Regions from separate parts of the Mus musculus genome. Here region 2 is reported to be linked to region 1. The links are microRNA targets in miRTarBase. Many come from high-throughput screens and were not tested one by one. Region 1 holds a microRNA gene; the other region holds the end of a gene's coding sequence. Distances are from middle to middle.

What was found. Region 1 holds the annotated microRNA mmu-miR-491-5p (AGUGGGGAACCCUUCCAUGAGG, at 3,137-3,158, opposite strand). A microRNA usually pairs through its seed, bases 2 to 8, with sites in the 3' UTR of a target mRNA and lowers its output. Matches are read on the target gene's strand: a 7mer-m8 pairs with bases 2 to 8, a 7mer-A1 pairs with bases 2 to 7 and ends in A, and an 8mer does both.
Region 2: miRTarBase lists Tbc1d2 as a target of mmu-miR-491-5p. Seed matches in the 3' UTR shown: 7mer-A1 at 4,469-4,475.

The regions. Positions count from the first base shown.
Region 1 is chr4:88,120,215-88,125,214 of GRCm38, reverse strand. Mir491 (microRNA 491) reads right to left here and starts at 3,175; the gene lies at 3,090-3,175. Focad (focadhesin) reads right to left here. Exons shown (of 44, transcript NM_001081184.1): 2 at 3,857-3,945; 3 at 553-627. The coding sequence starts at 3,913.
Region 2 is chr4:46,601,141-46,606,668 of GRCm38, forward strand. Tbc1d2 (TBC1 domain family, member 2) reads right to left here. Exons shown (of 13, transcript NM_198664.3): 12 at 5,243-5,364; 13 at 3,250-4,828. The coding sequence ends at 4,621. It overlaps Coro2a (coronin, actin binding protein 2A), which reads right to left and starts at 789. Exons shown (of 12, transcript NM_001164804.1): 1 at 677-789.

The sequences.
Region 1 (5,000 bases):
CTCCTCCTTACAGTTCAAGATCTGAACTGAACTACAAGTGAAACCAGGGGCGAGTGGCCCTGCAGGCAAGCACAAGCATCTACATAAAACAAGCAAGCAGATTATCTTAGACTGCTTCCTACTACTGTGACAAGGACCACAACCATAAAGAACCAGGTGAGAATAGGGTGTATTTCAGCTTAAGGTCCATCATCAAGAGAAAGGAGAGTATAAACTCAGGGCGTGAACTGAAGCAGACTCCATGAAGCAGCAGTGATTCCTGGTTTACTCTCCTAGCTCGCTCAGCCTACTTTCTGATACAACCCAGGACCACCTGCCCAGGGGTGGCTCCTCCCACAGTAAGCTCAGCTCTCCCACATCAGCTATTAAGCAAGAAAATGTCCCACAGGGTTGCCCACAGGCAAATCTAAAGGTGCATTTTCTCAGTTGAGGCTGCCTACTCTCAAGATGATCCTGGCTGGTATCTATTTAACAAAAAGCTAGCCAGGGGCAGGTGTACACACACACACAACAAACAACAACAAAACAACAACAACAAGGTTAAGCACAGACCTGGTTTGTGGATTGGTGTATCTTTTCTGAAACACCATGTTCTTTTAAGACAGCAGCAATAAGATGACCTACAGCCTAAAAGAAGAACAACAAAAAATTAATGAAGATATCCACTTAGAAGTTCTTTCCAAAGAGTGCACTGAAAGGGAATCAACATCATATTCATTTTCATGTATAAGCAAGCCAAGTTGTCAACTGGTAAGATGAAAGTCCCTTTGTTGTGTGCCATGTAGAAAGCACTGAACGAGGCACTCAACATGTGTAACCCAAATCCTCAGAGCAATCTTCAAAGTAGGTCAAATATCCCAGCACTACACAAGCCATACTCTACCGAGGCCAACATCAACCTTCAGCTCAAATTCCTCTCACCTACTTTTAAAGATAATTTGGAATTACATAATCCATTAAAACATGAGACAGTCTTTAAAACCTTTGTATCTAAATCCAATCTGTCATGTTTCATGGTGACCTTTGTGAAAATGAAGAAAAATTCACCCTCACTTTTATGGATACAGCCTGTACAGACCTGAAGAATATCTCTCCCTTCCTCTACACTCTTCTCCCTCCTCTAGACCCTACTATTTTCATTTTTTCTAAAGTTCATTTGCATGTGCGGAGGTGTGTGTGAGTGTGTTTATGTGTGTATGTGTGTGTGTGTGTATGTGTATGTGTGTGTGTGTGTATGTGTATGTGTGAGTGTGTGTGAGTGTGTGTGTGTATGTGTGTGTGTGTGTATGTGTATGTGTGAGTGTGTGTGAGTGTGTGTGTGTATGTGTGAATGTGTGTGTGTGAGTGTGTGTATGTGTGTGTGAGTATAGGTGTGAGTATGTGTATGTGAGTGTGTGTGTGTATGTGTGAGTGTGTGTGTGTGTATGTGTGAGTGTGTGTGTGTGTGTATGTGTGTGTGAGTGTGTATGTGTGAGTATGTGTGTGTACATGTGAGTGTGTGTGTGTATGTGTATGTGTGTGTGTATGTGTGAGTGTGTGTGTGTGTGTGTGTGTGTGTGTGTGCATGTACACAGGTATGTGCTACTACCCACATGAGGAGGAGAGAAGACGACTTGGAGAAGTCACTTCTCATTTTCCACCATATGGGTCCAGAGATTCAAACTCAGGTCATCCTCAGGCTTAATGCAAACTGTCTTTACCCACTGAGCCATTTCATAGCCCTATATTAATTTATTTATCCCTTCCTAATAGGTTTTGGGTCTTAAGTTTTCAGTCTCTCAAATCTCTTAAAAATTTCCCACATTCTGCTTTAGTCAAAGAGCCCAAAATGAAAATCAAGCTCTAAGAGAGTTGATTACACAAATACATAAATGTCACCTCCTCTGCCTCAGTGTCAGGCCCTGTTCTTCAGGCCTAACCAGCACTGCTGACTGACAGGAAATTGGCTGGCAACAATGGTAACTATTCTGTATGCAGCTAGGGAAATTTCCACTACTACAACTGTATATCCTGAACTTGGGACCACTTACAATAGTGCTGAAAACAGCTGTCAGTTTTGGGAAATCTCTAGAAGAGCTCAAAGAACTACACCGCACCCGCTCCCCTCCTGCACATGTGCATGTGTTCAAATGTTCAAATGATTTAAGACCTCTATACCTGAATTTTGAGAAATAAATCACTCACTTACATAAATGCAAACTGCAGTTCAATTTGCTGTCTCTTATCTCCTAGCCAAAGGATAAGAAAACTGAGGAGCCATGAGTTTGAACCCTAAGTTTGTATTTCACAAACTATACTGTATGTGTCATTGAATATCTGGCCATCAGCTCAAAGGATGCAACATAACTCATCAGCAAAAAATAAACATGGCTGCCAATCAATCTACGATACACAGTGCTGCCTGTAATTTGAATTTTTGATTTTAGATTGATCATAGAACTCTTCTAGAGTCACTTAGAAAATAATGGACAAGCTCACAAGTGTACACGCACTACCCACTGTAGCTCAGCTGCTGTCAGCAGCTGCTCGATCATCTAATCACCAAAATGCAAAAGGGCTGAGTGCCAGTCAAGGGGATATGGTCCTGTCTCAAAGCAGTGGTTTTGAAAGAACAGTTGGTATATGACTCATGAGGACAGGGCACACTCATGAGAACCTAAGAACCAAGATGAAATGCAACAGAGACATATAAAAAAAGCTACTGTCCTCATTTAGAAAAAGGACTAAAAGAAAATACACTGCATGTTTCACATCTCCCCACTCAGAAGATTCAATTTCTCTGATCTTCTGTTTCATTCATCTTTTAAAACATCAGAGATACTAGCCTAAGGAGCCTACATGGTTCTGAGACACCCACACAGCTGACACATTATGCTACCTTGCTACTTCATTCCATAGCCAGACTGAAATATACAATAACCAAGACATATACACATTTTTCTTAAATTAACTGTAACACATGTCACCATTTCCTTTTTATTATGTTAATGAAGGTTATGTAGGTACAGAAGAATGGAGACTGTGAACAGCATCTTCCTCATCTTCTTCTTCAGGGGAAGGGCCTGTGTTGCACAGAGCAGGATATGACTTCAACTCAGTCAGGTAGAAGGGAATCTTGCATAAGGAGTGTTCTACTCCTCATGGAAGGGTTCCCCACTTCCCAGCTAAGTCAATTCCCACAGCAGGCATCTCCGAGGGCAACTGCTGAAGCATCCACGAGGCTTTCGGGGTTAAGTCTTCAGACTGGCTTTCACTGGCTGTTTAGCTTTACTCATAGGAAGAGATGTTAAGCTCTTATGGTACCAAGGTTTATTAGAATGTGCCTACTTAGCTAGCAGATAGAAACCACCACTGCTTTAACACTTGTCTTAATTATTGAAAAGCTCTGTAAATTAAATTATCCCGATTTCCCATCTCAGCAGGTACATATTACATTAATCCAGAATGCTTTAATTATTGAATATCATTATTCTGAAATCTAGTACTCTTAATAGCTGTAGAGAGGTAGAATATATCATTTTAAACATTAATCTTTGATACTCTGTGGAGATATATAAGAAACCATCTATCACTGTTCCCAATTATTAAACATATGCAAAAAGAATAACCACATTCAAAAATCTACTAATCAAGATTATTTCTAAGGGAAAAATATATGAAAACAACAAGAAGCTGAAATTGAACAAGTTTAAATATTAGTTTCTCTAATTGAAATATACTTACTAGTCATATAATGTTGCTTACTACAATAAGCCATGAGTAGAAGAAAATATTTCATGTGAAAATACAAAGTTCAATTTATGGTCCATCAAAAGTGTGCTTTTGTTACCATGAAGGAAAAATAAATAAAAATTACCTGAGACTGGATAAGAGAATTCGGAAAATCAAACCTTTTCTTGATGTCATCTGACATCTTTGCTTCTCTCACAGGTTTATGCACAGTTTCTGTAATCAAAACAAGAGATGTATTAACCATCTAATTGCCTTGGAGTTCAAACCAATTATTCCTCAAAGAGTATAAAAGTAATTTTAAAAGCCAACAATGGAAATAAAGCAGGAACCCCTGCAGATACTTCTTAGCATAACCTTTTCTGTTAACCACTTCAATGCTCAGAAAATATCATAGATAAACAAACTAAAAATGTCCAACAACTCCGTGTTTTCCTACACGTTAATCCTGAGACAGATGAATTCATATAGCAGAACCATTAAAAAGCAAATTATTTTAATTCCAAAGCTCAACCACCTACTTAAAATAAAAGTTAATCCTTTCTTGAATTAAAACGTACAAGAGAGGGCTCAAAAAGGAAGGGCTCAGTGGTTAAGAGCATATGCTTCCAATGCAAAAAAACTGAGGTTCAACTGCCAGCACCCACAGGACAGCTCACAACATCTGGGCACCTGCATGGCATGCACAGGGTACACATACACTCGGGCATTCCTGCATACATATGAGATAAAATATAAATAAGTCTTTTTTAAAAAGTCTTTTTTAAGGGGGAGTCAAACTGTGGCAAGATTGTTTAAGCTTACACCTCCTTTTGATACCAGCTTTGATCTCAGCAAGAATCCAACTGCAGCTGAACTACAGGAAGTTCAGCTGTGCCCTCAAATCCTGCACATCCAAACAAACTACTTGTCTGTTAAAAGAACAAACGAGGAATCAGCACCAGTGGTTTTTGTTTACACCAAACTCTCAGTCCTACTGTTCTCAAAAAGAGGAGGGGGACAGAGAAGAGGACACAGAATAAAAGGCCCACTTTACCCAACTCCCATGCAGACTTATCTCTGAATTTGAGGCCAACCTGGTCTACATACAGATCAAGTTCCAGGCCAGCCAGAAACCCTGTCTCAAAGAAAAAAGAAAAAAGAGGAGGAGGAGGAAGACACAGCTCAGAAATGACTCAAACACACTCCTTGTTTCTTGTTTGTTGCCATATGACTCATGAGAGGTTTCAGAACTCTGCCAGCAAGAAGCCCATCAAAACTACACAGTTAAA
Region 2 (5,528 bases), 42 Mb from region 1:
TACCAACCCTGTCCCACCAGGCTGGTACGCAGAACTGGGCTCCGGCAGCTGGCCAGGGCGCGGACCAGGACGTCCTTCTCCATTGCCCGAATGCAGGTGGGTGTTTGCTCGGCTCGGGTCCAGGCAGGTCTGAGGCTGAGATCTGGCCATTGCCAGCGCGGGGCTCCTCCTCCAGCTCCAGGCGATGAGCCTGGTCTGGGTAGCAGACTGCTCGCCCCACCCGCGCGCCCAGGTCGCCTCGGCAGGGACTCAGGGATGCTTCCTCCTCCACCGTTTCCCGGGACTGGAAGCTGAGGCCCCCGCGGGTAACCCAGCCAGGACAGGAACAATCACGACTCGGGTCCACGGGGCACCTGGGCCACACCGGGGCCTGTCGAGACTGGCTGCCGCGCCCAGGGCGGGCCGCTCACCGCCGCAAGAGGCGCGGGCGGTAAGGACTGGCCCCTAACCTCTGGAGCGCGAACCTGGGGGTCGCTGCTCCTAGTCACCCACTGAGGGAGCGGCCGCACCAGTATCCCGATGGGGAAACTGAGGACTGGAGCGGGGCAGAGCTTTGTGTGAGATCGTGCGGGGGTCTGGAGGATAGGTCTCCGCGACGCCGGGGACAGCATCCCTCCCGCCACAGAGCCGCAGCCCGGGCGCAGCGAGCGTCCCGCCCGGCCCGGTCCCACCCTACCTTGTTGGCTGCCGCGCAGGTGGCGGCGGCGGCGGCTCCGGCTCCCGCTCCGCGCTTCGCGCCGCCCGCCGAGTCCCCGCGCCCAGTGCCGCCGCCTCCCCGCGCAGCCCGGCGGGCGGGACCGGGCCGGGCGGGGTCGGGGCGGGGCGGGACGGAGAGGCCCCGCCTGTGCGCCGCCCGTCGCCCGCAGCTCGGTTCCCGTCCCGCGTGCACACACTCTCGCCTCCGACACGCTCTCGCCGCAGGCTTTGGGTGGGACTCGGGTCCCGAACCTCAGTTTCCCCTTGCTGAGATGGAGACTGTCATCGCGCCTGCCTCCCAGATGGCTCGAAGCTGGATCCCGCAGCGAGCGCCGGGACCGCAGCTCTGCAGGCGGCGGGAGAACTGGAGAGCGGAGGGCGGCTGCGCATCCGGGAGATCCTTCCCACTGCTGCCATTAGGGGGCGCTGCGTCCAAGCCGCTCCCTCTTTCAGCCGGGTGCTCACTGAATATGGAAGATAGGACGTCATATCTTTCATAATAACCACGCCACACCACCTGTCTTGGAAAGTGTTCTTCGTGTCTTGTAGTGATGTGTTTGGTGGGGGGCGGGGGGGAGGAGGGAGACTAGCACTGTACCTGGCACAAAGTAGGTATTGTATATATTGTTAACTAAGAACACAATTTATTACATTTGATCTACCAACGCCTTCAATGTAGTCATAATACTCCCATTTCATAGACAAGAAGTTGAGACTTTAGCTGAGTTCTTGGTAGGCTCTATAACAAATTTAATGTGTGTGTGTGTATGATTTGTGATGGTGGGATTGAACATTAGGACCGTGCATATGCTTGCCAGGCAAGTATTCTACCTTTGAGCTACACTGTGAGACCTCTCCTCTTTTTCTGAAACAAGAGTTCACTAAATTGCTTAGGTTGGCTTTGAACTAGCCATCTTCCTCCCTCAGCCTCTAGGAGCTGGGATTGTAGGACTACACCACCACACTCAGCTCTGGTGAGTCCTTGATCACTTTAGAACAGCAGTCGCTAAAGCCTTCCTCTAGTTCCTGCTGAACCACAGGGCCCTGGGCCGGTTTTCTTCCTAGAGCTGTGGGTTTCCCACGTCTGAATTCCCCCTGCATCCCGCTTGGAGCTGCACTGGCAGAAGCACACAGCGCACAACCGCAGCAGTTGGACCTTTGCCCTCAAGGGTCCATGGTAATCTAAAACATTTTTGTCACTTTTTAACGAGTGTGTGTGTGTGTGTGTGTGTGTGTGTGTGTGTGTGCAAACTTTCAGAAGTTAGTTCTTTCCTTTCATCTTATTTCTGCAATGCTACATATTCCTGGCTGACTGTCCCTGAGCTATCGGGCAATATATCAGATGCCTCCCATCTCCAAGTAGGAGGGCTGCATTCAGCTTTTTACATGGTTCCTGGGGACAGGTCTCAGGCTGCCTGGCTCCTGAGACAGCACTATCACCCTCTTAGGCATTTTACCAGCCCATTTATTAATTTTTTTAAGGAGGGTCCCACATAGCCCAGGTCGGTCTTAGACTGTCTATGAACTAAGAAGAACCCATGAACTCATTCTCCTGTCTACCTCCTAAAGGCTGGGGCCACCATGCCAGGCCCACCACAGTGTTTCTGACTTGGCTTTACCCTGGAGCAGGCTGACTCATCTGGATGCCCCAACACAGTAAAGGCGGAGGCTAGGGTCTGGTGGTCCTCTCTCTCTCAGCATCATTCCCAAGCTCCCGCTCGCATCATCTCCTTTGGAAGGTCTCTTTCAAAATCATCTTAAAAGAAACTCTTTTTTCATGGTGCCAGGCCAGTTGTCTGTTGGGACAGGCTTGTTTGACAGGATTATCTGGGGGACTGTGGGCACGTGGACCCGTAAATCAGAGGGGAGACCTGGAACCTGGCATGCCTCTTCTGTGTCTGGGGAGGGGCTTTCCCTGTGTCCTCTTACCGGTTCCTAATCCTACCTCAGGTGTGGAAGGCAGCCCCTGACAACCCCTAAGTTACACACAAGGGGACACAGCCTACCAGGGCCTGCTCAGACACTATGGGGTCAGACACTATGGGACGTGTTGGGTTGGGAGACATCACTGATTGACTTTCTACTTGTCCTGTAGAATGTGGCCGTGTGTGTGTGTGTGTGTGTGTGTGTGTGTGTGTGTGTGTTGTACTGGGAGAAGATAGCCCCTGGGCAAGGGTCTATTTGGGATATAAGCTTGAACAAAGTAGTTTGGGGGCGTATCCCTCTCACATCCAGTCTTTGGGGTCTCTAGGCCCCTGTCCCTTTGTTCTCTGAGAAGGCCTGCTGGTCCAGGGGTGGGAGGGGTCGATCATGGAGTTCCATCTCTGTTCTGGGTAGGAAGGTGGGGCTGTGGCATCAGATCTTCCAGCCTCTGAAGCAGTGGCCCCTGGGGAAGGGGCAGCAGCTGTGGGGCGAGCAAGGAACCTGACACTAGGGGTAGGCCCCAGGCCCTGAGGGAGGGGCAGGCTCTGCCCCAGCAGCAGCCCAGAGAGTCTCAGGCTCGCCCGCACCCCTTGTTTGTTTCTGTTCCAGTTCAGGCAGCCCAGACACTCATCGTTTTTCTCTTATTTATTTGGTTTTTGAGACACTGTTTGGCTGTGTAGTCCAGTGTTGGAACTGCTGGGATCTGAAGTGTGTACCCCACACCTGACTCCCCCTTTTCTTTTCCTAGAGTTGACCCTGTGGGTATGCCCACAGGCAGTCACGGCCAGAGCCGCCCTCCCCTTCTGTGTGACACTACACTAAGTTCTCTGAGTCCTGTTACTGGAGCTTGGCCTGCTCGTTCAGGGCTGGAGGAGGCAATTAATCCCAGAACACTTACCCCCCAGGGTTAAGCCTCCTGGCTCCAAGAGTAGCTGAACACAAGGCCCAGCACTGCTGGAACACAGTGCAGCTTGGTAAGAAAGCTGCGTTGGTCCCCCAAGGAGAAGCGCAAGTGCTTGGCAGAGTTCTCCTCTAGGGAGAGTTGAGGAAGAGGAGAGGTGGGGGCTGTGGCTTGGTGGGGGAGTAGTAGAAAGGGCACTGTTTATCCAGCAGCCTGTGCCCACAGTTCAACCTGTTTTTGGCTTTTTGGTGGTGGCTTTTGGGAGAGCCGGTCATCACCTAGCCATGTCCCCTCCATGTAAGGCTGCTTACCAACTGGCTCTGGTGAGCCGAGTGGGCTGCTGCCCTGCTCCCCTCCCAAGCCTACCCTGTTGGCCCCACAGGCCAGATGCAGGCCAGAGTGGATGCTTGCTCCAGGTCCACTGTCCAGTCCACATCAGGTTCCTCAGGGTAGCAGGCAGGGGCTCCCCTGGGATGACCCAGTGGGCTGTAAACAGAAGGCAAGCTTTAGGCATGAGGCTGTAGAGATAGTCCCTATGAGCAGGGCGATCTCAACACACAGATCCAGGTGGCAACTCAGGGGGGCTACTGTCTGGAAAGACAGATGCCCTGAAAATGCAGGCCTTGAACTTGGGGTGCCACATAATGGTGACCAAGGCCTGGAGCCAGAGGGTGCCAGCGGGAACATTCCTGACACTTGTGCCGAGGAGCCCTGGTAATGAGACGGCTTCTGTCCTAAAGGTGGAGCGCCATCAACTGCAAGGATGTTGCTTTATGTCATCATGGCTCTGACAGGAGGATCCTGCATGGAGTCTGAGGTCAGCCTGAGTTCCTCGAGACCTGGTCAGAAGACGAAATCCAAACGGAATGGAAATGGTGGTGCCTCTCAGAGACTGGTCAGGTGACCCAGCATGTATCCCTGCCTCCTGTCCTGTGTGTGAAAGTGCTCTGTGGGGCAGTGACACAGGCTGGCAAGCCTGGGAGACTAAGGCCTGGAGAGGGCAAAGGCCTGGTCCAGGGTCACACACACCTCCCGCCCATGGCTGAACTCTATCTTCCTGCCAGCAAAGGTGAGAAAGGCTTTGGGGACAGAGGGCTCGGTCAGCTGTCGCCTTCTCCTTCGTCCTCGCTGACGCAGCCCTCTGGCGGTGCTCTGCCCAGGGATGCCCGTCTCTGCAAGTACTCCACTTTCAGCAGCTCTAGCTCGCGCAGCTCCGCCTCCAGTCGCTCTCGGTGGGCTGCCCGCAGCTGCCGCAGTTGCTTCATGGGAAATGGGTTCATGTCATTGAAGGCTATGCTCATGAGCTTCCTGAAAGGAAGGTACAGTCGGCCAGGGCAAGGTTACCAGTTTCGGCCAGGTCCTGACATCCGTCCACCCTAGAATGGTGGTCCTGCCTTCTGGAGCTAACCTTCCGGGGATGGGGGTGGGGGAGACTATTCCCACCTAGAGCTGAGGCTGGAGGGAGCTAGGCAGGTACCTGATCCAGTAAAGGAAGGGCAGCTCTGGAGGGCTTCCTGGAGGAGGCACATGAGAGCTTAGCTTTGAGGATAGGGACCAGGCTCAAGATAATGGAGGAGCAGTGGGAGAAGGGAGCCAGGAGGCTCCTAGGGGCAGAGCCAGTGGTGGGTTGGTTGTCCCACACCCTGGGTCTTGATGGGAGGGTGAAGGTGGGCTTTGGAGCTTGCTTGCCATACAAGGATACAGAGGGGGCGGACAGCTCACCGGCTGTCGCAGATGGTCTTGGTGAAGAAACGCAGGTACTGGTAGATCTCCAGGCTGTCCTGGAGTTGCAGGATCGCTTCCTCATTGTACTTGAAGATGGCCAGAGCATATCGGAACACCACCTAGGGCACAGTGGGGTTCAGGTGGGGTACAGACCCAGGCAGGTACTGTTGGGGGGTGCTGGGGGGGGGGACACGACTCAGCGACTCCGGGAATATGGAGGTTTCTGGCAGGCCAGAGTGGAAGCCTAGGGCCACAAAGTGTGGGAGGCAGTGGGAGGGAGGGA